Drosophila melanogaster: one gene and its partners. The protein of the gene in region 1 purifies or fractionates together with the protein of each later gene. This does not show direct contact. Each region holds a gene or a part of one and is shown in the gene's direction. Other genes may lie near its edges. The genes, in order: CG14995, Kaz and RanBPM.

What was found.
Region 2: the proteins of CG14995 (region 1) and Kaz purify together in Drosophila melanogaster (affinity purification with mass spectrometry, with the first as the bait; one large-scale study listed by BioGRID). This does not show direct contact.
Region 3: the proteins of CG14995 (region 1) and RanBPM purify together in Drosophila melanogaster (affinity purification with mass spectrometry, with the first as the bait; one large-scale study listed by BioGRID). This does not show direct contact.

Annotation. Positions count from the first base shown.
Region 1 is NT_037436.4:4,097,563-4,106,930, reverse strand, and holds the start of CG14995 (uncharacterized protein), read left to right. Parts: upstream 1-3,970; 5' UTR 3,971-5,374; coding exon 5,375-5,454; intron 5,455-5,716; exon of another isoform or gene 5,717-5,750; coding exon of another isoform or gene 5,751-5,935; intron 5,936-6,085; coding exon 6,086-6,151; intron 6,152-8,731; coding exon 8,732-8,905; intron 8,906-9,126; coding exon 9,127-9,368. Other genes in the region: Fit1 (fermitin 1), read right to left, coding at 545-2,671.
Region 2 is NT_033777.3:24,825,834-24,834,466, reverse strand, and holds Kaz (katazuke), read left to right. Parts: upstream 1-4,507; 5' UTR 4,508-4,612; coding exon 4,613-5,797; 3' UTR 5,798-6,188; downstream 6,189-8,633. Other genes in the region: CG43273 (uncharacterized protein), read right to left, coding at 3,615-4,028; RabX4, read left to right, coding at 6,508-6,631, 6,843-7,135, 7,196-7,309, 7,368-7,478.
Region 3 is NT_033778.4:10,425,472-10,437,758, forward strand, and holds RanBPM (Ran-binding protein M), read left to right. Parts: upstream 1-4,240; 5' UTR 4,241-4,312; intron 4,313-4,533; exon of another isoform or gene 4,534-4,602; intron 4,603-5,062; 5' UTR 5,063-5,114; coding exon 5,115-6,444; intron 6,445-7,567; coding exon 7,568-7,732; intron 7,733-7,800; coding exon of another isoform or gene 7,801-7,803; coding exon 7,804-7,994; intron 7,995-8,070; coding exon 8,071-8,252; intron 8,253-8,315; coding exon 8,316-8,428; intron 8,429-8,489; coding exon 8,490-8,641; intron 8,642-8,699; coding exon 8,700-8,902; intron 8,903-8,955; coding exon 8,956-9,119; intron 9,120-9,165; coding exon of another isoform or gene 9,166-9,174; coding exon 9,175-9,314; intron 9,315-9,446; coding exon 9,447-9,558; intron 9,559-9,614; coding exon 9,615-9,751; coding exon of another isoform or gene 9,752-10,252; 3' UTR 10,253-11,110; downstream 11,111-12,287. Other genes in the region: CG12896 (uncharacterized protein), read right to left, coding at 1,498-1,626, 1,690-1,765, 1,829-2,203, 2,266-2,348; CG12895 (uncharacterized protein), read right to left, coding at 11,278-11,548, 11,611-11,792, 11,849-11,866. UniProt on the Drosophila melanogaster protein: May be involved in JAK/STAT signaling. Isoform D is required for the proper arrangement of niche cells and is autonomously required for proper niche cell size, isoform C negatively regulates the adhesive properties of the niche.

The DNA of each region.
Region 1 (9,368 bases):
ACTTGTTTTGGGTTAAGATTGCTCTGGCGAAGGCACAACATCGTTATCATAATCGTTATCAGCGTGGTGATTGTTATTAGTCTAGAATTCCATTTCCATTAACACTTATACACGAACGCTTTCGATTTGGGTGGGTTGACTGACTGGGTTGATTAAAAATGTAGGTAATCGTTGGACAACTTCTTGGACAACTTGGACAACACAAATTTAAGAGACTTATACTTATAAAGTTAATTATTTTTTTTTTTAGGTAAATGCCGACAAAAGAAAACCAACTTCTGGTGTCGGACACTAGTCCGTCAAAGTTGTTTACAAAATATATACGTATTTAGGTTGATAAACCGAACAGAAAAAAAACATTGAGAAACTAACAACTAGAGTTACGAAGAAGTTGCTTGGTGTGGTCCACAGATTACCAGTCAACCCATAAATCAACGCACCCTACATTAGGTAAATATATGTAGATAAAACTGTAGAACATGCGACGAGGTTTGTGCTTGGCACTCAAGACTCCAGTCCAATGCTCCAGACTGCGCCAATCCGTTTACGACCAGCCGCCCGTCAGCTTGTGGAACATCTCCTCGTTCAGCGTCTGGTTGTTCTCCTTGGATCGCATGGACATGAATATGTAGCCGCCGATGAACTCGTGCACCACCTTACAGTCGGCCGACTGCACGGAGAAGACGATGTTCTCGTCCTGCAGCTGAATCATCATGCACTTGATGCCCCAGTTAACATTCCAGGCCTTCATTGTGTTGTAGCGCCAGGTCTTTATGTGATCGCCGGTGTTGAGGTCCATGCGCATGATACGATTGTTGGCCACGCCCAACAGCTCCTCCTTCTTGTGTCCATCGAACTTGATGATGAAGAGAGTAACACCGAAGTCTGGTAGAGATTGCCAAGCCTGGATGTACTTCATCTTGGCGTCCATTAAGCTCAGCTGGCGAACGTTGGCATGGGCCTCTAGGATCCTCTGCACCGCCTTGCTGGATAGTTTGCGCATCATTTTGGGCGATAGGTAATCCATGGGCTCAACACTTCGCGGGTTGACGGTGAGCGGAGCTCCCTGGGCGGGTTTCTGCATCTGCAGCAGCGAGCGAATACTGCTAACTTCGCTGTCGTAAGAGCTATCGGCTAGAGAGCGACCCTTGGCGGCCAGACGACAGGCTGCCATCCACTTGGCGTACTGCTCTTCGTTGTCGCATCTCACCCAGACCTCACTGTTCGGACCATTTCTGATCTCTGACGGAACTTCCAGACGGATGGCGAACTTTCCTTGGGCCAGGTTAACATCGGGCGTCACCTCGCAGCCCTTCAAATTGATGCTGATGGTGGGAGCTCCCCGCCTGGACTCATCCTGCGATTTGTAAAGGTGCAGATGCAGATCCCTGTAGGTGAAGAAGTAGCGCTTGTATCCTTTAAGGGTGAACCTTTGAGGCTTGAGGAATTTCAAATAGTCCGACAGCTCTGGTATCCTGGTGATGTTGCCCTGATCCTTGCCACCTCCTGGTCCTTCGAGTGTGATCTGCAGCTCGTTGAGAGCGGAGTCAATGTCGTCCTCGCCGCCAGTCTCCTGACTGGAGGTATCTATTCCGGAATCGATGCCTGGGGGATGCAGATCCGTCTGATGATTCACCTGGAACTGCAGGGCGGCAAACATGAGGGTCTCCTCCTCGGTGGGTTCCAATTCCTCGTTCAAAATGCTCCATTTGGCTTGCTCGTACAGTTGATTGATCCTCACTTGGTCGTACTTGGGGTTCAGATCGAAGAACGTGAAGTATTTGAAGCGCAGGCACAGAGTGTCATACTCCCTAACTCCCTGCTCCATGATGGAAAGGGACGAGTCCAACCATCCCACGTTGAGACGGGCTTTCTCCACCCGGGACTTGGGTCGAACCAAGCGTGCTCGTACATCCGGACTGGGCGACCTTGGCGACATGGCCAGATTCTCCTGGAGGTCTCCGAAACTAGAGTTGGAATCGTAGCTAGCATAGCCAGTGGAGTTGTGCTTCCAGGTGCCCGTGGGCGAGCTGATGGGTGTTCCCGGAGCAGTGGCTGCCCGTCGGGTATACGGTGAAGCCGGAGCGCACAGCAGATTGCCATTGTGCGAGCGATCCAGGCTGCCATTGCTACCGTTATAGGCTCCTGTGATCGGGACAAAGGAGTTGGTGTCCAGCGCTGGCTGCACGTATGCGATTCCATTTGCCTCCGCCACCGGAATCTTTCGCTGCGGCAGCTTGGAGAAGTTCTTCTTCAGATGCTCCGGTTCCAGGGGCTTGCAGAAAGACAGTTCCTCCGGATAGCGAATGTCCAGGTCCTTGCACAAGCTCACAACGGCTCCGAAAGTTTTGGCCGAAAAGTTGACGCGGTAGTCCAGATAACGAAGATCGGGCATCTGCACCCTCAGTGTCTTGTGCATGGGCGTGAAGTGCAGAAAGGAATCCGATTGAACTCCGGCCTGGTCCAAAGTGGACCGCGTCCTGGTCAGCCAGATATTCTTGGCGGGCCACCACAGGGCGTGATCGGACCAATCCTTGGGCAACTCCGGATCCACCAGGTTCAGCATTACGCCGCCAATGTGCTGGTCACCCTTCACGCGCAGCGTCTTCTCCACCTGCAGATCCGTGATGAGGATCCGCAGGTTCCACGTATTTTCGCCCACATGAATCATCTTTCGCTAAAAGTTCCGATGCGCGGGCGTCTCTTCTGTCCAAAGGCGAAACTATAACTGCGGGTATATTTGTATAGTGTATATATATGGCACAATCAGAGTCTAAATTTGCCCTCGAAACGATGACGTAATTCAACTTACGTTCAGCACCGTTTTTGCAACCAAGTTTTTGTTGTTCTTGTCGTTGTCGTTGGCTGGCGGGGAGCGGAGAGGGGGGGACTGCGACTGTGGCGGTGGCGAAACTATATAGGCCCTTATCTCGCCAGATGTTTGCACGGAAACAGAAACGCCAGCGAAACAGACCCAACAATCCAACAAGCCGAGTAATCCAGATCAAAATCGTTGGATGTAGAGATGGTGGTGGTATGTATGATGATAAAAGGGGGGGAGAGGCGGGGATGTACGGATCACTTGATTAACACACGCCCAAGGTTACGATTTTGATGGCTTGCTTGCTGCTGCTTGGGATGTTTTGTTTTCCCGATCTCTCTAGCAATCGCAATTCGCAGCGTTTTCCTCGCTCTTTTCCTCGCACATCAACACACCGACGAACACTAATGCACGCGCTCAAAAATGCGATGCAAATTTTCACAAAACAACACGTCGCGGGCGACGAGACAAAGCGAACGAGCCGAGATAGAGAGAAATTAATTTATAAATAAACCAGCAGCAGAGCAGTATGACCGTTTGTCTGCGCATATCGATGGTTCGCGCCAGCGAAATCGAACTTATCGGAACGGATGGTAAGAAGTATAGTTTAAATTTTGTTAAAAATTACATCGAAAATTAAGCAATACCATTTACCGTTAATTCTCGTGCTTAGTTTTTTGTTATTAAACTTACTGCAAGAGATATTAACCACCATACATTCTTATAAATTCTACTTTCACAATTGAACCGTGGATAGGGCATACCTAATACATTAGATTCGCATGATTTAATATAATTCGTATTCGACTTGAAACGAATTTGTGTATGGCAATCTATTGTATTGTATCAATTGTATTGTATCATAATATCGGACAGGCAAAGAACAATGAAGTCGTGGAGATTGGCACTATTGTTCCTCATTTATTTCTTCGAATTGGCTTATTCCATACGTACCTGTGGCCCAGGACGAGAAAGGAACTGTCATATTAATACTAAGCAAAAATATCAAAGGCCGAAACATTATTAACGTAACCACATGTTAACAGTAAGCACATATTTTAAAATGAGGGTACAAATATGAAAAGTGTATCGATATTTATTTTTTTCCAGAAATGGGGGTCACACCGGCCCAATGGTCATCTCTAAGTTATCGTAACGAAAAATATAGTTCTGTTGTTTTAATAATTTTAGTAGAAAGCAAATCTGCTATTATGAATATCAATTTAAATTAACGCATGTTCCAGTTAACTAATTTGTTATAAAGCAAAAGTACATGCATATATAAAAACAATACTGGTTTTTCTCCTCCTCTCTCGCTGTTTCGCTCTTTCCGCTCTTTTTCTCCACACCGCATTCGTAAACAAAGACAATGAAAGCTCCAGTTGAACGGCTAAAGAGGCCTCAAAGCCCCCAGATTGTTTTTCGCCGTTGAGCCGAGCGCACGTATTCGAAAAAACAACTAATAGTGTATAATAGTGCAGTATTGTGTAAAACACGCGCGTCTCTGCTTTCTCGCTCTGGCACCCACCCATACACTTTCGCGTGCCCATACACACATACCTGTAAGAGAGCGAGATACGAAAAACGGTGCATGGAAAATAGGAAAATCGGAACTGAAAAAGTCGGAATTTCGTTTAATCAAGTTAGCTGCGCGTACTACTGTCAGTTTCGAATTGAAAGTGCCGGCCCAGGGTTTTTCAAATAGTCATATCGTTAAGAAATTCGAAATAAGACACACACCCACAAGTTCTCGGACAAAAACATCTCGGCACGAAAAAATCGATGCAGCAATGTAAAAATTTGACAAACTCCCGTACCACAGAATGAAAGCAACAATTGAGTTACACACATATACATAGTGTAGTTAAGCGGTGTGTTACGTTCATATACATACTCGTAACAATAATAAAAAAAAGCGCGGCGCAACAACCCGAGCGGCTTATTCATCCATGCAGGAGATTCGAGATACAAAACATCAGATACAATAGCAAAACAGCAGTCTAGCATCGAAATTTTAGTCAGTTGAAAAAAACCGAAAAGCACAAGAAATTTTCATTTTGTTCGGTCCCTTAACGATAAATCCTAACGTTTTTGGCAATTAACGAATATTGTAGCTGTGGAAAGGAGCCACACTACAGCAAATACACCAACATTAAGCGGTTGATAAACCCGAACTCAGAGCAACTTGAAGACTGGAAGACATACGTAATTACAACAAATTGCAGCAACAACAAAGCAACGCCTACGACACGCCAGTGATTACAACAATAATAGCAGCAAAAGCAAAAACGAAATTATTTACCACAACAAGGCATAACCTGTTGTAGCTATTTCACTGTACTGCATTGTTGCTCACCTCTCGGCATCTAAAATTGGGCATTCACAAGCGGCTTATAGTAAATACGCGTTTAACCATCGGCTGTGAATACACAATCATTATATAGCCGGAATCTGCAAGTGGCACACCTGTGGCCACGGGTCAGTTGAACACCAGTTGGAGCAACAGCATCGCCATCATCATCACCATCACCATCACAGCCACAAGTACACACAATGTCGAGACTCACCGAGGAAATGGTGATAGCGCGGGCCAAGCAATCCGATTTGTCCCTGATCAAAAAGCTAAATTGCTGGTAAGTAGACAGCCCAAATAACTAGAAATATTTATAGAATATATCATCATATCATACTGAATAACGAAAGGAATGCTTGCATTAGTGCAATAACTAGATTGTTTGTAAATTTTTAGTCAGCGGCATATTAATCATGCTTTAGCAAAGTTAGGACGACTAATTGTTTATTATTGTTCAGACTCAACCCACTGTTAATTTCATCGATTTTCGATCTAATTTTCGCCTGTGCATTGATCTATTGCTAATCGTGCTGGGGCAGGTGCAGCCACTATAGTGAAAGCTTCGATCTGTGTTGAATGGGTCTGCGATCTGGTGTCTGGGGTTTGGGGGATCTGCCCACTTTGCTGCTCACTTCGGTCGCTCCGGCTGCTTTCACTCGACCCAATTCCAGGGGCAATCTTCTAACCAGTTTAGAAGTGTCCACTTTGGAGCGAGTCACGATTTCCTGGACTGGAAAAACACGCGCCCCTCGAGAAAAACGGTTGGAAAAGCGTGAAAAGCAGTTGAACTACTTTCCGTGATGGGCCCCCAACTCTTGACCCATCTGCGATAAGCGTGTTGCCTGCTAAGAGGGCTCCACTGTACATTATTTATCTTTATTAAAATGCCATCTATTCTGTGCTTATTTCAGGGGCAGTGATCTCAGCGATGTGTCCATCATCAAGCGAATGCGTGGAGTGGAAGTTCTGGCTCTTAGGTAAGTCACAAGTCGTGAAATATTTCTTCTATAAGGATCATTTTGATTTCCTGACTCGGTGCCTTTTGATTGATACAAAGTGTGCGGCTCGCCGCCGAGAGAATGCGGTAGAGATATATATATTAAAAAGCTAGCGAGATATTTGCTTTCCAGTGATGTCATCGCCCCATCATTAGGCAAGCTCAAATACGAAAGATACTTTGGCACGCTCAAGCGCGTAATTAATGCAAAAAGCTGGGGACGCAGAAAACTACAGAAAATAAGCTAAAAGTCGTGGGAGCTCCCAAATTGGCAATAGCAACTGGCCGCGTACTTTTCCAAGTCGCGTAGGCCACACTGCGTAGTGGGCAGATACTATAGTTATGACTCGTATCTGCTAGATACTTTTGTATCTCGCTGTGCCTTGTACCTCATCTGGTACTGCTGGATACTTGTTGTACTTGCATGTCGCTCGATAAGTTTGCATGTGCTGCTGCTGCTGCTGCTGCTTTTGCTGATTTCGCCACTTTTGCCATAAAAGGCGACAATCATTTTGACTGCCAAGGTCGCCGAAATCCATTTCACCCCCCCAAAAACTTCTGTCATCTGTTGGCAATGTGCTGAAAACTCTCGACTCTTGCGATTCGTTTAATTATGCATAAAACAGATATAGATGGAGGTGCATATATACAAGAGTTCGTGGCCTTATAGGGAGATTTGGCATTGAACTTAGGGGAAAAGAACCGTGAGAATAACAGGAAATAATAATTTAGGTATGGGCGAATCAGCTATTTCAGATGAAGCGAATAATATGTCGACCCAGTGAACAGGAAGCTATAATTATGGTATTGAAGTTGTAGATATCGCACCTTAAACAGAAATTAGATCTTATATATTTATTTCATTAGAAACAGGAAATCCCAAAGGAGGTGTAGTAGTTATCAGAATAAGAAAAAACCAACATTAAGCAAATATGGATATCATATATATTCATGGGGTGAAGTAAAGTATAAATAAAATAACCTTGAACATGAATTGACACCGATCTTGATCAAAAGCAAAAGTGCTCCTTTTTTGGCAAGTTGTTTTCGTATCTTTATTTCTCAATGAGTCATATAAAAATATATGTAAGTCTGTTAGATATTTGAAAAAATATTTTTTCTTGCTACTGCATTGCTAAATATGTAAACAATATGTTCTTAAAATAATAGAAGCTTATCTTGAGTACATTTTTGTGCCCTAAATTCGCCAAAAAAATAGAGCTTTTGGGTTGCTTCTTGAAACTGAATTAACTTGATAGCTCTGTAGGCACTTCTATTATCAGGAAGCTATTACCGCAATCGAGAACTACTCAACTGTCGTAGAGCTACATATATCAGTCTATAGATAATGGTACGCGTTTCCTATATACAAACGTGAATGAATAAATTGATAACAAATTGACATGGCAAGCGTGTAAGCCCGAGGGCAATAACTTCTTATAGAAGTCTGCTCTGTTTGCATTACTTTACGTGGTTAAACAATATACAAGGAAAACCTTTCAGTCTCAAACCGATGGATAGTAGTGTTTTACGTGGGGTTCCCTGCTTTGTGGAGCATTTGTTGTGCTAGGCGTGGAGTAGTGTTCGCAATGAATGAGCCATAAATCAGATTGGTTTACCATACTTCAGGTAAAATGCGTTGGCGTAGTCTCCATTTCTTGGCAGTATACTCGCCCATTTTGCTCATTACCATTTTCCTACCCATTTCCCTGCGTTGCATGAGTGTGCATATTGATTTGACTTGCGTGCTGCAAGCACTTTTCTTTTTACCTCCCATATTATTTCCACATTCGGTGGTAGGCCTCAAGTGCTAGATAACCTTGACTCTTCAGAGGAAACATTGATATTATGCATACTTAAGCAGTGGCACTCCTGCTTCTGGTCCTACTCCCGATTGGCCTGATTTATTTGGCGAACTATTTATAGTGCCACGAATTCCAGATACCAGACATTCACTAAGGCAATGCACTCGTGTGCCATTTAGCGATCTTCCTGGCTAAGTTTAGACAGTTGGTTCTGCCATTTCCCACACTGCGAAATAGGAAAAGATGTTTTAGGTGTCCACACAGGGAGAAGAGTATATAGAAAGTATATAGAAATTCATTGAATTGAGAGATTCTCTCTACATATCTATGATAATTTGGAAATACAATTCGCTCAGTGTAGAAAAATATATTTTCTTTACCTATTCAATCAGTTGGGTGGGCAACAAAATCATGGCACGCTTTTGGCCATCGGCAATTGGCCACTTCAGAGGGTAATTAGCATTGTTGGGAGTTCAGGTGCTAAGCGGGTATCGCCCGGAACATGGGGAGGGAGGTTTAAACCTGACCTAGACGAAGACAAATGATGACAATCAGCTTTTCCCCCTGCCGAGATTCTTTAACTGTTATTGGTGGGGTATTCTGCGAAGAATCCGACGAGTTAATGACCAGCACGCAGCTGCCGGAGAATCTTTTGTGTGTCTTTTGAGCATGAGTCACGGCAGTTAGTTTGCTGTCGCCTTTGTCCCGCCAAAGAGAAAGTTTCTTGAACCTAAAATCTTATGCTTCTGTTGCAGTGTCAACAAGATCAGCACGCTGTCGACCTTCGAGGATTGCACCAAACTGCAGGAGCTATATTTGCGCAAGAACAGCATCTCTGACATCAACGAGATCGCCTACCTACAAAATCTTCCGAGTCTCAGGAATCTCTGGCTGGAGGAAAATCCCTGCTGCGAACGAGCGGGTCCCAAGTGAGTAACTTCAATGGATAAATTCATAGTAATCTATTATCAATAAAACGTGATATATTCTGGCTAAAAGCATTAACGTTTGTCAACGTGCCAAACGATGAGATCGCTCTTTGTTCGAAAAGCATATAAATAGTTAGTTGTTCATAAATTATAGTATGTATTATATAGTATGTAGAGAAGCCCTAATAATCGGTCTCACCTCTGTCTAACCACAATCACAGCTATCGTTCGATCGTATTACGCGCCCTGCCGAACCTCAAGAAACTCGACAATGTTGAGGTCACACAGCAGGAGGTGGAGGATGCGCTGCGTGGAGGCGGAGTCGCCGCACCCGAGGACGAGGTCTACGAGGATGCATACCAGCAACAGCAGCAGTCGAGGCGATCATCGCCGCAGCAGATACTGCAGCAGCAGCAACACAGCTACCCGCAACACTCGCCGCCGCCGCAGCAGCAATATCAGC
Region 2 (8,633 bases), on another chromosome or scaffold:
ACAATGATTTATTCCATAGTACTTTCTCCATTTACGCAAATCCCGCCGCACCGCGTCATTCGGAATGGAAAATATTTATATTTACATGTAAAAATAAGTTCCTTTAATTATTATTCAGCCAGTCCAGTCCATTCAATTCGCCATGCGGCAGAGTCTGAAATTTATTTCGGATATTTATTTCTTGACATTATTGATAAATGTTGCCGGGCACAGCAGAGAAACGGAAAACAAGCAGGAAAATTATATGGAAAACTCACGAAATCTTTTCGCCAAATCAGAAACTGCAGCGAATCGTAGGCGCCGCCAGTGGGTTTTCCCCCTCCCCTCTCCAAGGAAAATGCGAAAGACCACCGTAATTAAAGAACTAATTCGCTTTCAACAATTTGGGCGTCATGTTTTTGCTCTTAACTGATGATTAATTAGTGCGACTGTAGAATTTCTACCAGCGATATATAATTTTCTCACGAAATCTCATCGAGCTGTACACTCATGCCCAGAGGTCATCATATTACTGCTGATTATAACTCAGAGTGCGGAGCATTAGGCCCTCGAAAAAATGCCAATTTAAGGGACTTAATTCCACATTATGGCCACGTCTAATTGCGGCTACACACACACACTCACTTACCTCACTCACTGCATGCAAGTTTGTTTTCGTGCGTTCCAGGACATGCACACACCACATGGCTTAGTCCTTAAAGGACTGCCAGCTCCTGCCCCCGAATGTTGCATGCGCCGCAAGGCGAGCTCTTCGATAGCCGCTGTTACTTGTTTTAGCCTTGTCTGTTGGCCAAGTCTTGACCAAATAACCTTTCCATGACTTTCCCAATTTATCACTCGACACATTGCCACATTGCCACATTGCCAGCTAGCTGAATGCAGCTAAATGCATGCTAAATATATGGGTGGCCAGTCGTATAACGATTATTTCAAGTTCATTTGTTAATGCACACCTTGATTTTAGCAATGGGGCGACACTTTTGGGGGTCTTTCGTCTTGGCCAATTCGCATGTCATGTTGGCTAAAAGGACTAAAGGCGACGCCAGGCTAGTGAAAACATAAAAATACCTACGAAATGTTGGTGCTCACGAACTTATTTTAATAACTCATGCGTGGTCAGGTTAGGACGTCATAAGGTTCTTAATCCCCAAAAGGAATTATAATTATAGCAACATTTTGAGAAATGTCGAGGAATTTAGTGTCGTTTGGATGGTAAACAGTTGTACACGATCTACATTAAAGTCATAGAATTTTATACATTCTAATACCATATTCAACTAGTAATGTTGGTCTGTTTGGCCTACATAAGAAATTGTTAAAATTATATAAGCGTAAGGCAATCAGAAAAACAATAAAAAGTCATACCGCTAACACAATCCAATTATTTTTTAGCCGCATTTCATTCAATAACTGCAAAAATGGTCGCCGCTTCAGACAAAAGCATTCTAAATGCATATGAACTAAAGGATCGTAAAATATCTTTTATGAGGCTATTAACTGGGAAACCTAACCAGAAACTCTACCGAAAGGGCCATACAATTGGAGGATCACAACAATATTAATTGGTAAATTTAATGTCTACCCATTTAATTTCGATGAATACATGACGTTTCCAGTGACCTATCTAAAGGCGAAGCCAAAAACTCATTATCCAAGGCGTCATCATCATCGGACGCTATTCATTACTCACCCAAAAGAACTGAGGAAAGGGATCGGGTCAGATGAAGTGGAGTGGTCAGTGCACACACCCTTCCTGGCGTCCGACAAATATGCAAATTTACGCACATCAAAAAGTGAAAGTTCTAGAGGTGACCATAAAAACCCGAAAAACGCCGGAATGGAGTACCTACTTCTGCGCGAAAAAAATCAATGCAGGCCAGCGAAGCAATGTGGTCAGTGAGGAAGGAAACGGCAGCGAAGGAAAGGGGCAGGAGCAGGAGGTGCCCTCCACTTCTGGGATGGAGTGCCGTAGGCTGCCCCGGCGGTGGAACACGATTAAGCCGCACTGATTATGGGTTACGACCATTTCTTATGGTAGCCCAAAAGGGCCGAAAACATCTACAACTAAATTGCCCAAGTAGCAGGTCCCGAAGAGAAGGACCATTGATGACGGCTCCGCTGCACGCAATCCATGACATCACCAAACGGCTCGGCTCTCTCTCGGCTTTACCACCGAGCTCCAATTGGTTAGGTTAGCAGCTAGCACCATCCGAACTGACCCACCCTTTCCCCAGGCGGGTTCTCCACGGGCATGGAGTCCTTGCTCGACACCAACTGGACACCTGCAAAAACCATGGCAATGCAAATGCAGCTCACTAAGTTATTCTAATAAGTTTTTGTGTCACCCAGGAGCAGTGAACTTGTCAAGTGGATCAGGTAGTGTATAAGTCAGTCGGCCTGAGTGACGTTCTGTAATTGGAATTCAAATTGAAGAAGTGCCTGAATTTAATCGCCTTCCCGCCGGTTGTATTATTAAAATGCAATTTTTCAGAACCCAGGAACCCAGGACTTCTCAGACATGCAATTTTCAATTGTTTGTCATTAGGGAAATCTCGATGTAAGCGCCTGACCTTTTGGGAATAATCACTGCTTGTGAAGGACGGATGCAATGGGTTTTAAATATTGGTTATGCTCCGTTTGGGAAAGGGAAGTCTTAGGATGATCTTGATAAGGTTCCTGCAGCCAGGTAGAAATGTATAGTCCAAAAAGATCCTTCACAATAAATATGTTAGTTAAATCAAATGTAATAAACATATATTTCAAAGTATTTGGACGTTAATTTTCTCAATTTCAAATGCTGACAAAATCCAACACTTTCATGTCGAACTATTGTAATCCAACTAGTTACACCTCACATCCTGGACATATGTTCCAACAAAATGTTTGTTTATTTGTTTGTTTTCGCGTTTTTGCACGGCACGTGTCCCAAATTTACCCGAAATGAGTAACTTCCGTTCCCGGGAATGAAAAATTACTTACCAAAGTCCCAGCATTTGGCCTGCGGACATGGGTCAGGTTTTCATGGATTTTCAATTTTCGCACGTACACCTGGGCGGCTACACCTAATCTATGACTAATTATCGGGGCCCACTTGAACGTGAACGAAAGTCAATGTACCATAAAAGGAGGTTAATTCTATGCAATTTTGCATGGACTCGTGATTACTTTTCCCTCCAGCAGACGTATTAATTACATGGCGGAGCACATTAGGTCAACTCTCGAACTCCAACTAGTCGTAATGCTAATTGCAAGAAATTAGAGTGAGCCGGCTAGTGTATGGTCAAAATGAATCATCCATAAAGAGTTGTGAGAATTTTGCAGATCACTTTTTCATGAAATGAAACGAAATGAATTATTAATATCATACCATAAAAGTAACTGCCTCGTGAATTGAACTATAGTATCTTTACAAATTATTTGCTTTAAAATACTTTTTATTATTCAGATTTATTCAAAAAGTACTTTTTGCATTGGGACATTAAACAATCCCTTTAGATATGTGGCAATACCATTTAATAATTAAAAAAATGTATACTTAACCTAATCTTGTAGATATTTATATTTGTCTAAAGACAGCTCTTCCAGATTTCAGAATTTACCACAATCAAAGGAATTTAGGATTCCTTGACTTCAGGCTCAACGTATTTGCTATACAATAGCTTGATCACTTCAATCTTTCGGGACATCTTGGCTGGGAGTGACTTTTCCAGCTTCTTCAGCATTTCCTCCAATGATCGTTGATTGGCGAGCTCCTCCTTCTTTTTCTCCCGATATCTTTGCTGTCTAAGTCGGTCGGTTTCTCGCTTTGTTTTTAAAACTTTTTTGTTCTTTTTAACCACTTCCTTCAGTTTGCTGCGATAAATCCTACTTCGCTCGGTTTCTCTGGCTCGGTATTCCTGATACTTAATCGGATCCTTTTTGATTTTGTCACGATATCGCTTGGAGTTATCCTTGGTTCCCTTCGTTGCTCCCTTTGATCCAGCTTTCGTTGCTTTGGAAGTCGCACCTCTGGTAGTTGCTTTAACCATCTAAAATTAGTTTTCATTTGCCATATAGGTAAGGTAATAGTTTCAATTACTTACTTTGCCAAGTTAGTCTTTATGTAATCCCAAGGAGATTATGTATATTTATTATCTTTAATTCGTTAGAAAAATGTTTAGAAAAACATTTGTTTATGTTTACTGGGCTTCAATCAGCTGTTATTAGTTAACAGTGCGGCAACAGCGCTGTACACTTTGCTAGAGCTGCCTAGAAGTTTAACGGGAAAACACACAGAAGTATAGCTAAATTTATTTAAATATTATAGAACTTCTAAAACATTATGAAATCGGTTGCTATGCATCCCGGCACTAGAAGGACACCATCAATAAGATTTTAATATACGCACTTTTGTTTATATATCATATTCATATACATCTATTAGTAATCATATAATTAGCGTTAGAAAATAGTTAACTGAACAGCACCTTTTGCTCATTAAGCTGACTGCTGACAGTCTGGCAACTCTTAGCCCACAGAAGCAAAACAAAGCAATTCAAAGAAGGAAAAGAAAACGCAATTGCGTCTCTAAAAAGAGGATAAAACCAAATTGCATCGCAACCGAAACGCAAAAATGTCCGAGATCAAGGCGTTGGAGCACGCCACCCTAAAAGTGCCATACGAGATGCTGAACAAGCGCTTCCGTTCGGCACAGAAGATCATCGACAGGGAGGTGGACCAGGTGATCAATGTATCGCGTCAGGTGGAAAAGGCCCTAGAAGCAGAGGAGGGTCCCATTCTGGCCGAGGTCACCAAGCTGGTGGATAACGTAGCGCAGAAATTGCAGGTGCTCAAGCGCAAGGCCGAGGAGAGCATCAATGATGAGCTGAGCGTCACACAGATCTGCAAGCGCAAGCTGGACCACCTAAAGGGCATTACACCGCCAAGCAGCGTTACAGGCGACCTGTGGCAGGGTTCCGTGGACCAATGGAAGCGGATCCGACTAGACCGCCTGGTCATCGAGCACCTGCTGCGCATGGGATACTATGAAACGGCCGAGGAGCTGGCCGCCAAGTCCGATGTGCGCCACCTGACCAACCTGGACATTTTTCAGACGTCGCGCGAGGTCGAGGATGACTTGGCCAGTCACAGCACCACCAAATGCGTGCTTTGGTGCATAGACAATAAGTCTAAGCTCCGCAAGATCAACTCGACCATTGAATTCAGCCTGAGGGTGCAAGAGTTCATCGAGCTCGTGCGTCAAAATCAGCGTTTTGAGGCTGTGAAGCATTCGCGTCGCTACTTCCCCGCATACGAGAAGACTCAGCTGAATGAGATCTGCCACGTGATGGCCCTGCTGGCCTATCCGGCCGATGCCCAAGCCGAGCACTACCGCAAGTACATGGATCCGCAGCGGTGGCAAAAGTTGGTGTTGGACTTCCGTCAAGAGAACTACCGCCTCTTCCAGCTATCCAGCACGTCCGTCTTCTCGGCAGCCGTGCAGGCCGGTCTGTCGGCCCTGAAGACGCCCCACTGCTATGCTCAGACCTGCCGTAACCTTAACTGCCCGGTGTGTCAGGAGGATCTCAACCGCATCGCTCTCAAGTTGCCATACTCGCACTGTGTGCAGAGCCGTCTTATATGCCGGGTCACAGGGCTGCCGCTCAACGAGCACAATCAGCCGATGATGCTGCCCAACGGACAGATCTTTGGTCAGATGGCTCTGCCGGACATCACCAAAGACGACGGTACCGTCACCTGTCCGGTGACCAATACGAAGTTCTCCAACCCCAAGGTCGAAAAGGTCTTTGTGATGTAAGCGGCACTGGATTCGACGCCCTCTTCCTACCCAACCGCACTAAGTTAAGCAATGAACAACTCTATTTTTGAACATGTAACTTCATATCTATTGTATGTCTAATATTATTACTATTGATAAGCTAGAGAACCCGCGAACACCCTCGATTTGAATTCCGATTTCGATTATTCGGCAACTGAATGCTGCTGCTGCTGCGCGTGCGCAGGTCTATTGATTATTTGACTCCACTCCGCATCCACGGGCTGGTTTGTTTCGCAGTCAGTGCTTCGAGGTTGATTCACGCATACGGCGTAATTCGACTCCGCCTCCGAAGTGGCACACTATGCACAACTAACACCACTTATATATTACATTAAAATACAAATGAAATAAAGGTTAAATCGTACGACTTATGCCAGAAGCTACTTGTCAATTAGCATGAGCTCCGAGCTGATTCTGTTGTGGAAACTGTGAAAATTTACAACAAATCCGTGTGACGCCGCTGCAACTCGATCTGGAACAGCTGCGAGCAGCAACAAACAAGCCAGGCCAGCGGATACATAAACAAGCACAAGCTGCAGCCCGCTACTACCCCTCGTAGCCAAAACCGAACCACCACCACCACTTGCACCACCCAACTACCAATAACAACAACGTCAACCCATCTGTAACCGAAAACCTCCGCAGTTGATATTATAATTCCTAACGAAAACTCCGCCAGCTCCGTCAACATGGCACTGGACTTTGTGGCCACCTATAAAGTTCTGGTGCTGGGCGACTCCAATGTGGGCAAGACCTGCATCGTTCACAGATATTGCGATGAAAAGTACTACGACACATACATCTCTACGATAGGTGAGTAGAGAGTAGAGTAGAGACCCCAAAATACTATTTTCAAATTTGAAAATAAATTTTTTTATTTACTATTTTCGAAATCGGACACTTGTTTGATTTTGATTGATTTTGAATTTTTAAATCCTAACGTTTTCCATTTGTTTTGAAAACTATTATTTCTACCTCGGCTGTTATGTGCAGTAACCCACTAGCATCACATTTTATCTCCCAGGCATTGACTTCAAGCAGAAGCTGATTAACCTCGATGGAGTACCCATAAAGCTGCAAATCTGGGACACGGCTGGCCAGGAGAGATTCCGAACATTGACCACGGCGTACTATCGGGGCGCCATGGGCATCCTACTCATGTACGACGTGACCAACTTGGAGAGCTACAACAACCTGTCCTACTGGTTACGCAACATCCAGGAGAACGCCTCGCCGGACGTGGTAAAGGTGCTGGCGGGCAACAAATGCGAGTGCTCCGCCACCCAGCGCATGGTGGACAAGGAGAGGGGCGAAAAGGTAAGTGACTGCAGGAAGTGCAGCATCGACACCAATAACACCATCCTATGCTCTCTCCAGATTGCCGAAAACTTCGATATGCCCTTCTTTGAAGTGTCTTGCAAGTCCAACATCAATATCGAAGATGCCTTCCTGTCCCTGGCCCGTAAAATCCGCGAGCAAAGGGAGCGGCGGGTAAGATGCTTTAAAATAACCCAATATTTAATAGGTAAATCCTTCACATTTCTCCCAGGGGGACAACTTTGATAACGATGAGAGCAAAGACAAGAAATCACCCGGCTCCAATGGCCTAGGAACCTTCAGTCTGGGCAGCCTTTCCGGCGAGAATCGCTGCACCTGCTAAATACTCAGCGATGGATTACGATGCGACCGCAACCGCAAACCGCAGAACCTGAGCAAGTTGTCCAAAGCTATTGAGCGTTGTAGCATTGTGGCCAACTTCGCGAACGGGCCACCTTTTAGATGCAAACCAGTTAAGGGACTGGGCTGCCTGCATTGCATTCCTGATGGAAGTGAAGCATTCAGTTTGTGCATTTTTAGTCCAAGAGAAGATAGCATAAATATTTTAGCATATTCCAGCAAATACATAACAGTCGAATATACATGCATATTGTCTCGATTCCAATAATTATAATGTAATGCTAAATATAAACACATTTATACTCGTAAGAAATGAAATTACGTCTATGTGCCATGGGGGAATTGTGTTTTTTCCAAATAATATTATCACTTTGAGACTTCCCTAATTGACCTCTTGTTTCTATCAACTTATTTATATCAACATTTTTATTTACATATAAAATACAATATAAACCTTGTTTTTCAAGGCACCAATGACTAGATTCTTTCTATCGCTCAGAATGGTCGTTGCTCAAGTTCTCATCTTCGGAGTCGTCCTCCTGTTAAATATATATCAACTGTTATGCCAATCGGCCAGACATGGGGAATACAGTATGTACATGAAAAATTTTTTTTTGCCAGTACGAATAAGTGTTTTGCGTAATCATACCCGTTACTACTAGACTAAAAGGGTGTACTACATTCGTTGAAAAGTATATAATAGGCAGAAAGAAACTATTCGGACCATGTTGATATTATTGATCAATAAACGAGTCAATCTGGTTATGTCCGTTTGTCTTTTTGCCCGTATAAACTTCAAGATCTCAGGAACTATATAAGCTAGAAAGATTGGGCCCGCAGATTTCAGAGACGTAGACAAAAAAAATTTCTATCGAACTTTTTTTTCAAACCGCCCAGCTGAGTAACGGGTATCTGATAGTCAGGGATCACGACGAATGCTATCGTTTCTTACGAATGCTATCGTTGTGATCCCTCTCTCTCTTGTTTTCTTTGAATTTAGTCAAAAAATGTACCCTTAATTATTTAGGTTGGGGTAGTGGACATCCTTGGTAATACGGCTAACAGGATAATGATAATGAAGGACAAGCAAAGCAACGATTGGAACGCCGCTAATTTTGCTAGTAACTCGAAATCCTAA
Region 3 (12,287 bases), on another chromosome or scaffold:
AATTAAAGACTTTCTTATTTTAATAAATATTATTTTGTCAGCTTTGCTTTCACAAAATATTATTGTCGATTTACTCGACTATCCATTTTTCAGCTAGTTGGTGTGCTAGCAATATATTTCAAAATTGCAAACAAATTATAAAAGCAAGAAAGAACGCTATAATCTGATATCCGATTCCCAAATAGCCTTGCACAAAGGTCATGAATCTACAAATGTCACCGATGAGGAGTAAACTATGTATGTAAGTACCACAGAAAATTATAACATTTTATTTATCTTATCACCTTGTTATACTACTTCGTAAATAAATTATAATTACAAGTTTTTAGTGTACAATAAAGATTGTATTTAACAGAACAGAAGGCGTTATGTATTTTATATTATTTCAATTTTTACTGTGCACTTGCTTTGTGTAGTCTTATAGCCGGTTACTCATTGAAAAGTATATAATATAGGAAGCATTTCCTTATTTGAATCAATTGCAGTGTAGATTTGGCCATGTTTGTCCGTCCGGCCTACACACCTTTTAAAAATGATTTGATTTCTTTTCATTATTTTATTAGTCTTGTAAATTTCTATCGATTAGACCGAAAATAACTCATAGAAAAATCTATTTTTGTAAAAATTTAGGTTCCGCTGTCAGAAGTGCGATTCAGGATATTGTTTGTTATATTTCCAAATTGATCACTCGAATGAGACCCTTTTTTGCTCGTACCACAAAACACCAGGGTGGCAAAACTCTCGGATATTTTTTATTTATTTTATTTTAAAAAACACCCTGGTGCCTAGACATCCATATTTTAGCGGGTGCACTTAGAGTGCCAGTGGCTTGCACAAACCTGCCACGCCCACACTTATATACTTTTGAAAAATGTGTTGAAATTTAGTATATATTTATATTAGTCTTGTAAGTTTCTGTCGATTTGCAAAAAACTAATTGCCCAGCCCACTCTAACGCCCTAAAGCCACCAAACCGGTCACACCCACACTATTAAACAATTTTAAAATTTATTCTCATGTTATGCCCCAATATCGATATCTCAGAAAAATGATGAAATTTCGCGTTCGGTATCTGATAGTCGGGGTGTTCGACTATAGCATTATTTCAAGACTAAAAATGCATTGCATTATATTACCAGTAGAGCAATTTACATATGTAACAAGTAGAAAGAAGGAAGCGTTTTCTACCCTATATAGTATATATATTCTCGATCACGATTGCTAGACGAGTCGATTTGGCGGTTTATGTCTGTGCGAATGAACGCTGCTATGCGACTTTCTTTCGATATTGCGAGACAATTTTTTCATTTTATTATATTTTGTAAAAATATTCATTCGCAGTTTTGTAATATTTTGTGAAAGCGAAGCTGACAAAATAATTTTTATTAAAATAAGAAAGTTTTTAATTAATAGTTTCAGAATATAAAATTTTTATTTTGCAGTAATTAACTTTTTATGGCACAACAGGAAGAAAAATACATGCAGGTATGTAGGTCTTTAATAGTTCTCAGTGGTGCGAACGTAGTTTACTCCAGATGGCATGGATACTTTATCAAATCCCTTGGGGAAGAGTTTATGAGCCTCGTCATCGGTGACACTGGGCAGGATCATGACCTTAGTGCCAGGCTGTTTATGAAACAGAATTAATTAGTTCGGAACAGTTCGCATTAAGTGGGTAGAAAAACTTACGGTCCAGTTGGCGGGAGTGGCCACCACCTTGAGGCGATCAGTCAGCTGCAGGGAGTCAATGGTCCTCAGAATCTCGCTGTAAGATTACAGGATCGTCAGTTGAGATTAACAATAGTTGTAGCCAGAAAGAGGTACTTACTCAACGTTGCGACCAGTGGACATGGGGTAAAACATGGAGAGGCGCACCTTATGGTCCGGACTGATGATGAACAGGGCGCGGATGGTCTTACCCACCTCGGGATCCTTCTTCTGCTCCTCGTCGAGCATGCCCAGGGTGACGGCCAGGTCGCGAGTAGGGTCGGCGATGATCGGGTAGGGGAAGTCCCCGGGAATGTCCAGGCAATAGCTCTTGATGTCGTTCACCCAGTCCACGTGCGAGTTCAATGCGTCAACGGAATGCGCCAGGCACTTGGTGTTCCGCTTGGCAAACTCCGGCTGGTGCACCGCAATCCTGCCCAGCTCAGTGGTGCAGACGGGAGTGAAGTCGGCGGGGTGAGAGAAGAGCACCACCCAGCTGGCGATCCGAAGGAGAATTGGTAAGATTCGATCAGAGAAAAAGGGTTTGATGGCACTTACGAGTTGCCCTGCCACTCGTGGAATTTAATGGGCCCCTTGGTTGTGTCGGCCTCGAAGTTAGGTACGGTCTGTCCCAAACGCATCTTGCTGTTTGATTTTTAGTTTCACTTGGAAAAAAACTTGTTAGTTGCTCAGCTGGTAGCTGTTATTAGCTCGCACACTTGTTGCTTACTGAATACTGACTGGGAGAGCTCGCTGTCTTTTATACCCGACTGGATCAATTTGATGAAAGGGGACCGATAGAGACAGAGAACGGGAGCTGGCTTATCGTATCATATATGTACATATGTATGTTTGTATGTATAGTACGTGGTGCTGCGGGTAGACTAACAAACAACTCAGTGATAATTGGGGACATTGTGAGGGGAAAGATGAGGCCTCGTACGGGGTCTCCATATTTGTGTGAACCTCAAGAGGGGCCTTAAAAAAACCTGTTTGGGGCGTCACACAAAAATGGACTCTGTGACGAACACATTTTAGATGTAACGCAAAATGAAGTACAGTTTCGCATATTTCTTTTAATTTAAACTTGTTCGAATAAATCAATCAGTCCAGAACCAATTCCTTCAGGATCTAGTATCAAAACAGCTGATTTGATGCAGTTGACGGTTTTGCCGGCTCCAAACATAAACAGAGAGCGAGAGCGCATTTAAATGTTAAATGGTGTTGGTAAACAGAGGCGAAGCACCAACACCTGCAAACATACAGCCACGCCGATAGGCGGATATTGAGAGCGAGAGAGCGGCGAGCAACGTGATGGTATTTGTGAGTGCCTGCAAAAATCGCACACTTCCATAGATCGCACGGCTCTCCCGTTCACGTACAGAAAACGAGCCTCTAATTGAAAGTGAAGAGCGAGTGAAATCGTGAGACTGTGTGCGTGGGTCTATCGAAAATTAGCACACCAGCATAGGTTTTCTCTCAGTAAGTCACACATAAAGATGGAATGGATTTGGGAAGTCGGATGGGCAGATCGCTCATTCAGAAGGCAAAAGACAGTACGCATGAAAGCAGCCCAAATAGGAATCATATGGTTAAAATTCAATATCTAGTCATAATGGATACCAAAAATGCAACAATTGATAAGTTTAATTAGAAGAGTTCCCTCCCAGTAGCTCGATCGTGTTTCATAAGTTACAAGTACAGTTTTTGTGCTAGTGTATAAAGTCTAATCAAGAATCCAGCAACATTCGTCTCTACACCAGACGTGTGGTAATTTTCCACTGTTTATTATCAGTTACGTGATAGGATTTCTATTCGGAAAGGAAGTAACTAAAATACAGAGTGAAGGTTGAGGCGAAACGAACAAGAACGATTAGAAGAGTGAGATAGAAAGTGTCAAAGCATTTGAGAGAAGCCGTAGAGCGAACCGGTAAATTCTGCAGCATCGATAGTCTGTCAATCGAATCGAATCTTTTGAATTTATGGCGGTTTTTTTTACCAGTGCAGCGATCTCTTAATTACATTCTGGGCAGAGTACTAGAAATCACTAAAGTTTTTTGCGCTGATGCATTTTTAAATCTGGTTTCAATGTAAAACGCGTATGTTTGACATTCGTCATACTTTTATACCATAGGCAGAAGTTTCTAAGTAATAATTGCCCTTAATATTCTTATCGGTATGGCGTAAAGTATGCGCTAAAAATAGATAATATGATCTTTTTTTATAATTTAAACCAATATTTAAAAGATTAAATTAGCATTAAAAAACATAACGAATTACGTAAGGTTTAATTTTACCCAAAAAATAAGATTGCTAGCAATAGTGCAATAATACCCTCCAAAAGTATTGTCAAGGGTTTTACCTAAAAACATTTTAAGATTTTAATGGCACTTTGGGAAGTGTGTTACTGCTTATCAAATTTTGAATTTAGGCGCCTAAAGAGATTTATTCGATAAGAATAATCGATAGCTGCCGAGCGCACTCTGATGTTGTCAGGTGTCGGAATAGATATCGATATCATCGAATGAACATCGGCTTTTGTTCCAGCTCTATAGCATAAAGTCAAAACTTCGTAGATTTAACAACTCATAGCAATCGTTTGAAGGTAAATATAAGGAAATATCAACTGTAGATCCGATCAACAGCATAGAATGACAGCCAAATCGAATTCATCAGCTAAATAAAACCCCAACAAAGATCATTTGCCCCAGCTAAAAAAAAATGATAATTTTCTTCTCTGCGTGTGGGAGCTGCGAGTGTGTGTGCTTGCTGCATGCATATATGCGTGTGTGCGAGAGGGAGAGAGTGCTGCCAGTGTGTGAGCTGGTGCTTGTTTGTGTGTGTGTGGACAGTGACTCGTTGGTTAGAAGGGAAAACAAAGAAAACTTCAGAAAAGTACGACGTAAAAAGGCATTTACAAATGTAGAATAATCAAAACTGACTTGCTAGCAATGTTAAAAAGTGCAGAAAGCATTGGCTAATATCGTTTGGCTATTGATTTTTTGCATTTTCGTGCATGCAATTTTGTAGCTGTAGTTGTTGCTGTTGTATTTTTTTGTGCTGCAGCTGCGCGTCGCAACTGTAAACTGCTGTTGCTGTTGTTGTTTGTATTTTGGGTCAGTTAACGAAAGAGAGTGCACGAGTGATTGAGAGAGTGCGAATGAGGTGAACGGTGTAACGGACAAAGGACATTGCATTTTGGAAGTTGTTTGTGTTTGCTAGCCTCCTTACCCCTCCCTTCGTCACTCCTCACGTATACACACACAGCATCTGCATATGCACTTCATCCGCTCTCTCTTGCTCGCTCGTTGCTGGCTCACTCTCTCTAATTCCTCGCTGAACGTCTCTCTCTCAGCCTCCTTTTGCAACCACAACAAGATAAACAACAACGACAACTCAACCATAACATGGAGAACGTCGAAGAGGCCCCGCCACTCTCTTCGGAGAGCAACAGCAATAGCAACAACAGCAGCGCCAGCAGCAGCTCTCACCAGCTCTCTCAATCGGGAGCCATGGGTGCCGAAATAGCCCCCTCTACGTCTCGGTCACACTCTCATTCGCCCACACCCTCGCCGCCCGTCCCCGCGTCCTCTCACGACCAACCCCATCCCGATCACCCTAGTCCCCCATTGAATGCATCTGAAACGGAAGCTCGCGAGAATTCACCACATGATCACTCACCCACTCCTACTTTCCACCAGACTGCACCGCCACCCACGACTTCATCGACGGCACCGCAGCGGGACGAGCGGGAGCAGCAGCAGCAGCAAGAGGCGCCACCATTGCAGCAGGATCAGCAGGAGAATTCGCCCGCGCAGGACCAGGAGCTGCACCCATTGCTGGATCAACAGAATCAAGAATATCCCGCAGTGCACCAAGATCAACAAGCGGAGCAAAACCAGGAGCTGCATCACATAGAGGGGCTTATTCGGCACCGAGAATCACAGAATCCGGAAGAGCATCCACCACAAGCATCGCTGGAAAACCGGGAGACATTAGGACGAGAAGATACCAACCAAGAACCGGATGAGCCGCAAGTTCGAGATCCCGAAATCGAACCAGAAGCCGAGCCACCGCCACCGCTGCTTCTCGAAGATCTGGACGAGCAGGACTCCGGATCGCAGGATCTTAACGAACAGCAGCCGCCACTGATTATAGACGCAAACGCTATAGCCGAGACCATAGACGCCAACGCCGTGGAGCGCATCGACGACTACGAAGACGACGACGAGGAGGTGGATGAAGAGGAGGAGGTGGTAGAGGACCGGGTCGACAGAGCCGGCGAAGTCGCTTCCGTTTCCGGTGCCCAGCGCCTGCACTCGGTGGCCGTTTTGCCGCGCTACTCCTCAGCCTCACGAGCCCCAAGGAGCAGCAACAATAACAACAACAATATCAGCAATCACAACAACAATAATAACAACAGCAACAGTAACAGCCTCTCGCGACGCACTCGTCACTTCTACAGCAACAACGGCAGTCACTTCAGCAACGACATGTTCCCCAGCCACAATCCCCGCAGCAGCACCCAGACATCATCGCCGCGGGTCGGTGGTCGCCGCCATCACTCGACCCCCGCCGCCAGCTCCAATTCGCCACAGCACCAGGGCGTGGATCCCCTAAGGCTGCTCTATCCCAATGTCAACGAGAGCGAGACTCCGCTGCCCAGGTGCTGGAGTCCCCATGACAAGTGCTTGTCCATCGGTTTGTCGCAGAACAACTTGAGGGTCACCTACAAGGGTGAGTAGGATTCGAACTTCTCTATAAATCAACTCTCCATTTCATACCATCTAAAATAGAAAGTAGGCAACGATCAGGCAACTATAAGATACAGATTTCTTAGGAGCTGTCATAGTTCAATTCTAAATCGGTTTCATATTGCCACTAATACGCACATTTCAATTTCGCAATGAAATGTAATAATTAAATATGCACTTACATAGATATAGTTACATAGATATGGAATAAATTGTAATAAGTTTGTCTACGCTGTAGCCAAGTATGAGTATCCAGGTGGTATAAGTGCCAGAGTTCATGGAGTTTATCTTTATTACAACGATTTGACTTTGTTCTTACATTTTCAAATTTGTATTGATCTAAAGCTAAAGAGACAGTATACAATATTTTAGCCCTTAAATCAAAACACCCGAATATAAGGCTAGCCCCTACTAAATTATTACTTGCATAGTTATTAATTGCATTATCGAAATTATTATTTATTCGAAATCCCATCCACAAAATCTAATATTTGTCTTGAAGGATGTAACTCAATGCAGTAGAAAGAAGAAGAGTCGTAGTGCAGCTGCAGTTTTCACTCTCTTTCGCTCTATCTCGCTCTGGCACACACACGCACAGGGCACAGACAGGTGCTCTCAGCTGTGCACTGGTGGTTTTTGTTTTTCATAACCCACTTCTCCCACGCTCATTCGCGTGGCTGTTAAACCGCTAACAGCAACAGCTGGCTTACCAGTGCGACATAACATGTAAAATGCGCGTAAAATGTATAAGTTATTACGTAGATGGTGCGTTGCATAGATGTAAAATGTATATTTAGGTTACTTTAATTTCAGGTAAAATATATAACTCAATAATTCGAAATATTTCATTTAAATTGATAAAATGTCTCATTATTGTTTCGACGTAGACTTAGGCCAAAAATCAGTTTTTTTATTTAGAGTATCAATTTTATTATTTTTATTGTCCAGATAACCAACTCATTCATTTATGTTAAGAACATATCCCATGTACTAAGTTCGAGAGTAGGAAGTTCATACCGAATGGATAAAAGAATATTGTCTTACTGCAATGCTATAGCATATAAAAATTGAGATCTGTCAAATACTGAAACCTCATGACTTTTTAGGTGTGGGCAAGCAGCACAGTGATGCCGCCTCAGTGCGCACTGCCTATCCGATCCCGTCCTCCTGCGGACTGTACTACTTCGAGGTGCGGATAATCTCCAAGGGACGCAACGGCTACATGGGCATTGGCCTAACTGCCCAGCAGTTCCGTATGAACCGCCTGCCAGGTTTGTGTTCCATTGTGCTGCTCGGCGAGATGTGCCCATGATTCCTAATAACCGCACCCCCCCTCAAGTAGGTTGGGACAAACAGTCGTACGGGTACCACGGCGACGATGGCAACTCGTTTAGCTCCTCGGGAAATGGCCAAACCTACGGCCCCACTTTTACCACCGGCGATGTGATTGGATGCTGCGTCAACTTTGTGAACAACACGTGCTTCTACACCAAGAACGGAGTGGATCTGGGCATCGCATTTAGGGATTTGCCGGTGCGTATTCAATGGAATTTTAAAACTACTTTATCTTCTAACTTTATGTTTGTTAATCTTTTTTTTTTTTGTTTAGACTAAGCTTTATCCCACTGTGGGCCTACAGACGCCTGGCGAGGAAGTGGATGCCAACTTTGGTCAGGAACCATTCAAGTTCGACAAGATCGTCGATATGATGAAGGAGATGCGCTCCAATGTGCTCCGCAAGATCGATCGATATCCACATCTGCTGGAGACCCCAGAAAACCTGATGAATCGGTGCGTTTTTGTTAAATGTGTTTAAAAATCATGGCTTAACCCAATGACTTCTAAATTGCTTAGCCTGGTTTCCACTTATTTGGTGCATAATGCGTTCAGCAAAACCGCCGAGGCCTTCAATGGCTACACAAATCAGACTTTCAACGAGGACTTGGCATCGATCAAGACACGTCAAAGTTCGTATATTTGCCATTTGAAATGACAACACACATGCCAACTTTAAATCCACTCTTCCAGAGATCATTAAGCTTATACTGACTGGCAAAATGAGCCAGGCCATCGAACATACACTACGTTCTTTCCCCGGACTCCTGGAAAATAATAAAAACCTCTGGTTCGCATTGAAGTGCCGCCAGTTCATTGAGATGATCAATGGAGCTGACATTGAGGTGGGTTTTTAAACATTACATGCGGAAGATAAGTAGAACCGGATGGTTTGTCTTACAGAACGTGAACAACAAAGTCACCGCCACCACACAGACCATGCCCACAAACCAGACGTCAGTGATACAGTCCACCAAGACGTTCAAGCACAGCAAGAGCGGCAGTGGAAATGGCAACGTCAACATAAATCAGACTCAACAACAGAACAACACTGCGATTCCAGCTGTGATAAAGCCACAAGGCGGCGATAGGCCAGATATAAAAAAGTAAGTCAAATGTAATACTTACTCCGATCTTTAATCACAACGTACTGTTCAAGCATGTTGGTTGACGACAACTCCAACAAGTGCGTGGAGCACGACAGCAACAGCATGGACGTAGAAATGGAGCCCTGCCAGAGTCACTCCAACGGCGGCGACTCGAGCTCCAATGGCAATGCCAGCGCAGTGCGCAACTCTCTAGATGCCATCGACGAGGAAATGGGTATGTATCTATTGGCGGCATTTCCGGGAAGATCCGTAATCCCTAGCACTTGCAGATGTAGATGTTTCCCCCTCATCGCGTAACTGTGGTCGTGTGATCGAGAAGATCCTTGAGTTCGGCAAGGAACTGTCCAGCATGGGCCAGCAGCTGGAGAAGGAGAACCTAATGACTGAAGAGGAGCGTCAAATGTTGGAGGTAAACTATAAAAATGTATAAACAATAGAAACTGGTATCTTGCAGACTAAGCACTCTTTGTATTTGAAAAATAACTTCAATAAGAATATGATTATCCGTAATCGAGAGATATTCAATTTATGGTTGTTACAGGATGCATTTAGTCTGATTGCCTACTCTAATCCTTGGTCCAGTCCGCTGGGCTGGTTGCTGTGTCCCTCGCGACGTGAGAGTGTTTCCACCACACTCAACTCGGCCATATTGGGTAAGTCTTTAAACACTTGTCTCGAAACGAAGTTACTAATTACTATGATTATGCAGAGTCCCTGAACTTCGAGCGTCGTCCGCCGCTGGAATACCTGGTGGCTCACGCCTCGGAGCTGATCAAGGTGATCGGACAGCACTCGCTGGGCGAGGACGCTTTCATTACCATCGACGATGTGTTCCCGCAAAATTGACCCAGTTCCCCGACGCTGCTGAAGATGTTCGAGACCACGCTGACCCTGCCGCGAACCAGTGTGCTTACGGAACCGTTGGGCAGCGCCGGAACCGGATCTGGGCCCTCCACATCAACGGCTGCCGTGGCAGTTCAGACCAGCAAACGACGCCGAAGGCGGCGTAACAAACGTCGCCGCAAATCCTCCCTGTCCAGCAATACCGATGCCCCGTCGTCGCGGACCTACGATCCCGTGATGACGGGCAGTACGCTCCGGTCGGCAGCTGTGGCATCGGTGGGCGGGGGCACGGGCACGGGACCAGTGCGTCGGGGTCGTCGCAGGAGCGGGGTCAGCTCATCTTCATCGGCGGCAGCGGCTGCAGCAGCGGCAGCGGAGGAGGAGGCGGAAGAAGCGGAAGCGGAGGCGGCTCGCCAGGAGGAGGAGGAAGCGGAAATCTTGAGCGGAAACAGCAGCCCATCGATGTTCGTCGATCCGCAGGACTTCTTCGAGACACTGGACTAAATTTAGATTATTTACAATTTGCAGTAGGTTAAATTTTGTTGTTACTTCCGTTCTCTTTCTTTTTTACCTGCGCAACCGGCTTCAGTGCGCCTATTTAAAACTAATCGCCGTTCTTTTAATTGTTCGATTATGCTAAAGATGCTATGCGTTTGGCGGCCTTTGATTTGGCGTGATTTTTAATAACTTTTAACATATATTTTATATAGCCTCTCTAAGCATAAAGTGTGTAATATTATGATGTATAATTAAATTTGCGAAATGTGCTGCGACACGACCCTTGAAATTGAATTAGCCCTTTGTTTTTCGCTTCCACCGCCCGAAACACAACAATCACACACCAAAATATAATCTAGAATTGATAGTGAAGGGACTAGCCTGGAGCAAAAGCTGTTCAATCATCTCCTTAGCATGTTAATATAGAACCGAATCCATAGTTAACTGGTAGACATTCGCGTTTTAATTCTCCGTGTTTTCAGCGATTTTCGATGGACTCCGCGCCATCCCGTGTCTTGTGGCAAGACTAAGCAAAAGCAAATGAACATTTTAAGTGTAATGTTTCGCTATAGTGTTTAAGCGTATTAAAATTTAATCTATATATACAAGATTGGTCATACACACATTCGGCAAACATGAATAGAATTTAACTGGATAATCGTTTAAATATATTGTATGGATGTGTATTTCAGGAAAGCGAGAACTGTGTTTTAAAGGGGGTTCAAATTGGATTAAATATATGCCATTCTGACAATGTGTTCAGTTTTATATATTAAAATTGTATCTTTTCAAATGTCATGATTTGTTGATTAAGCTGAAGTTTTCAACAAATAAAAATAAAAATGAAAGCACATTCAAATTACCAAATCACTTGCAACCGTATTATTTATTATTCCGTATAAATGATCGTTTTTAAATACCAGGTAAAATGCAAGTTCAAGTCATTGGTCTTTTAAGGATCAGGAGTAGAATAACACATTCATTTAATACATTGTTTTGTATGCTTATATATATAATATAGTTTATAATGTTCACAAATCCGGCTGCCTTATCCTTTGCACTTTTTCATGATTTTTGACGTGCTCCTTTAGCAGACGCATTATTTCGGTATCGAATTGAGGAGGTGTTGGCTTGGTATCGGTGGCCCAGTAGAATATATCCCAGTCGTTGCTGACACCATTGATCAACTGATCGTACTCGGCGGTCTGCTCGGCATTGAAGTCCTTCAAATGCTTGGCCACAAAAGTGCTCAGCAAGAGATCGTTTTCCAGCATTCCGCGTTTCCTGCTTTGATACAAAAGGCTGCACAAGATAATGAATGATCATAAGTAGGAGTTTGGGATATTTTCATTTTAAGCGTATACCGCTGCTTGCGAGTTTCCAGCGGCTCATCGGGACGGACAGGATATTCCGGAACTGGCAAATGCGGCGGATCATCGTAGTCCACAATTTCCCCGGGTGTTGTGTACTCAGTTTTGTCCAAATTGCTGGCGAGGCGACTTTGGGCCATCATAGGTAGTTGCAGGCGACGGCCTACCGTAGATACCTGTGTCCAATTAAGCAATCAATTATATTTTACTACATTTGGGGCCATAAACTTACTATAAATTGCCGCAACATTTTAGGAAACGACCAAAACAATGATATAACGACAGTGTTGGCTAAGAAAGTTAAGTATAATCGATAGATTCCTGCTATAATAATCGGCTGTTGCTATAAATAGTGCTGGAAAGTGCACACTTTGTTGAATTAATCATTTATTTTATTTAACCGTTCAAACCTCAGGCGAATTTAAATTAAAATAGTTGTTTTATTTTAAATATGAATATATTTGGGAGAATATGCACTGCAATTGTTATGAAAGGTATGCGAATTTTTAATAATTATTTGCAATAATATAAATAAAAAATATATCTCTATTTGTATCACTTAAAGCTCAAATATTGTATTCATGAGATCCTTTTGAGTGGCCTGCTATTTAAAATCCAGATAAGTTTCAAAACATAATAAAAAAATAAATGTCTGTACATACAAAGTGATG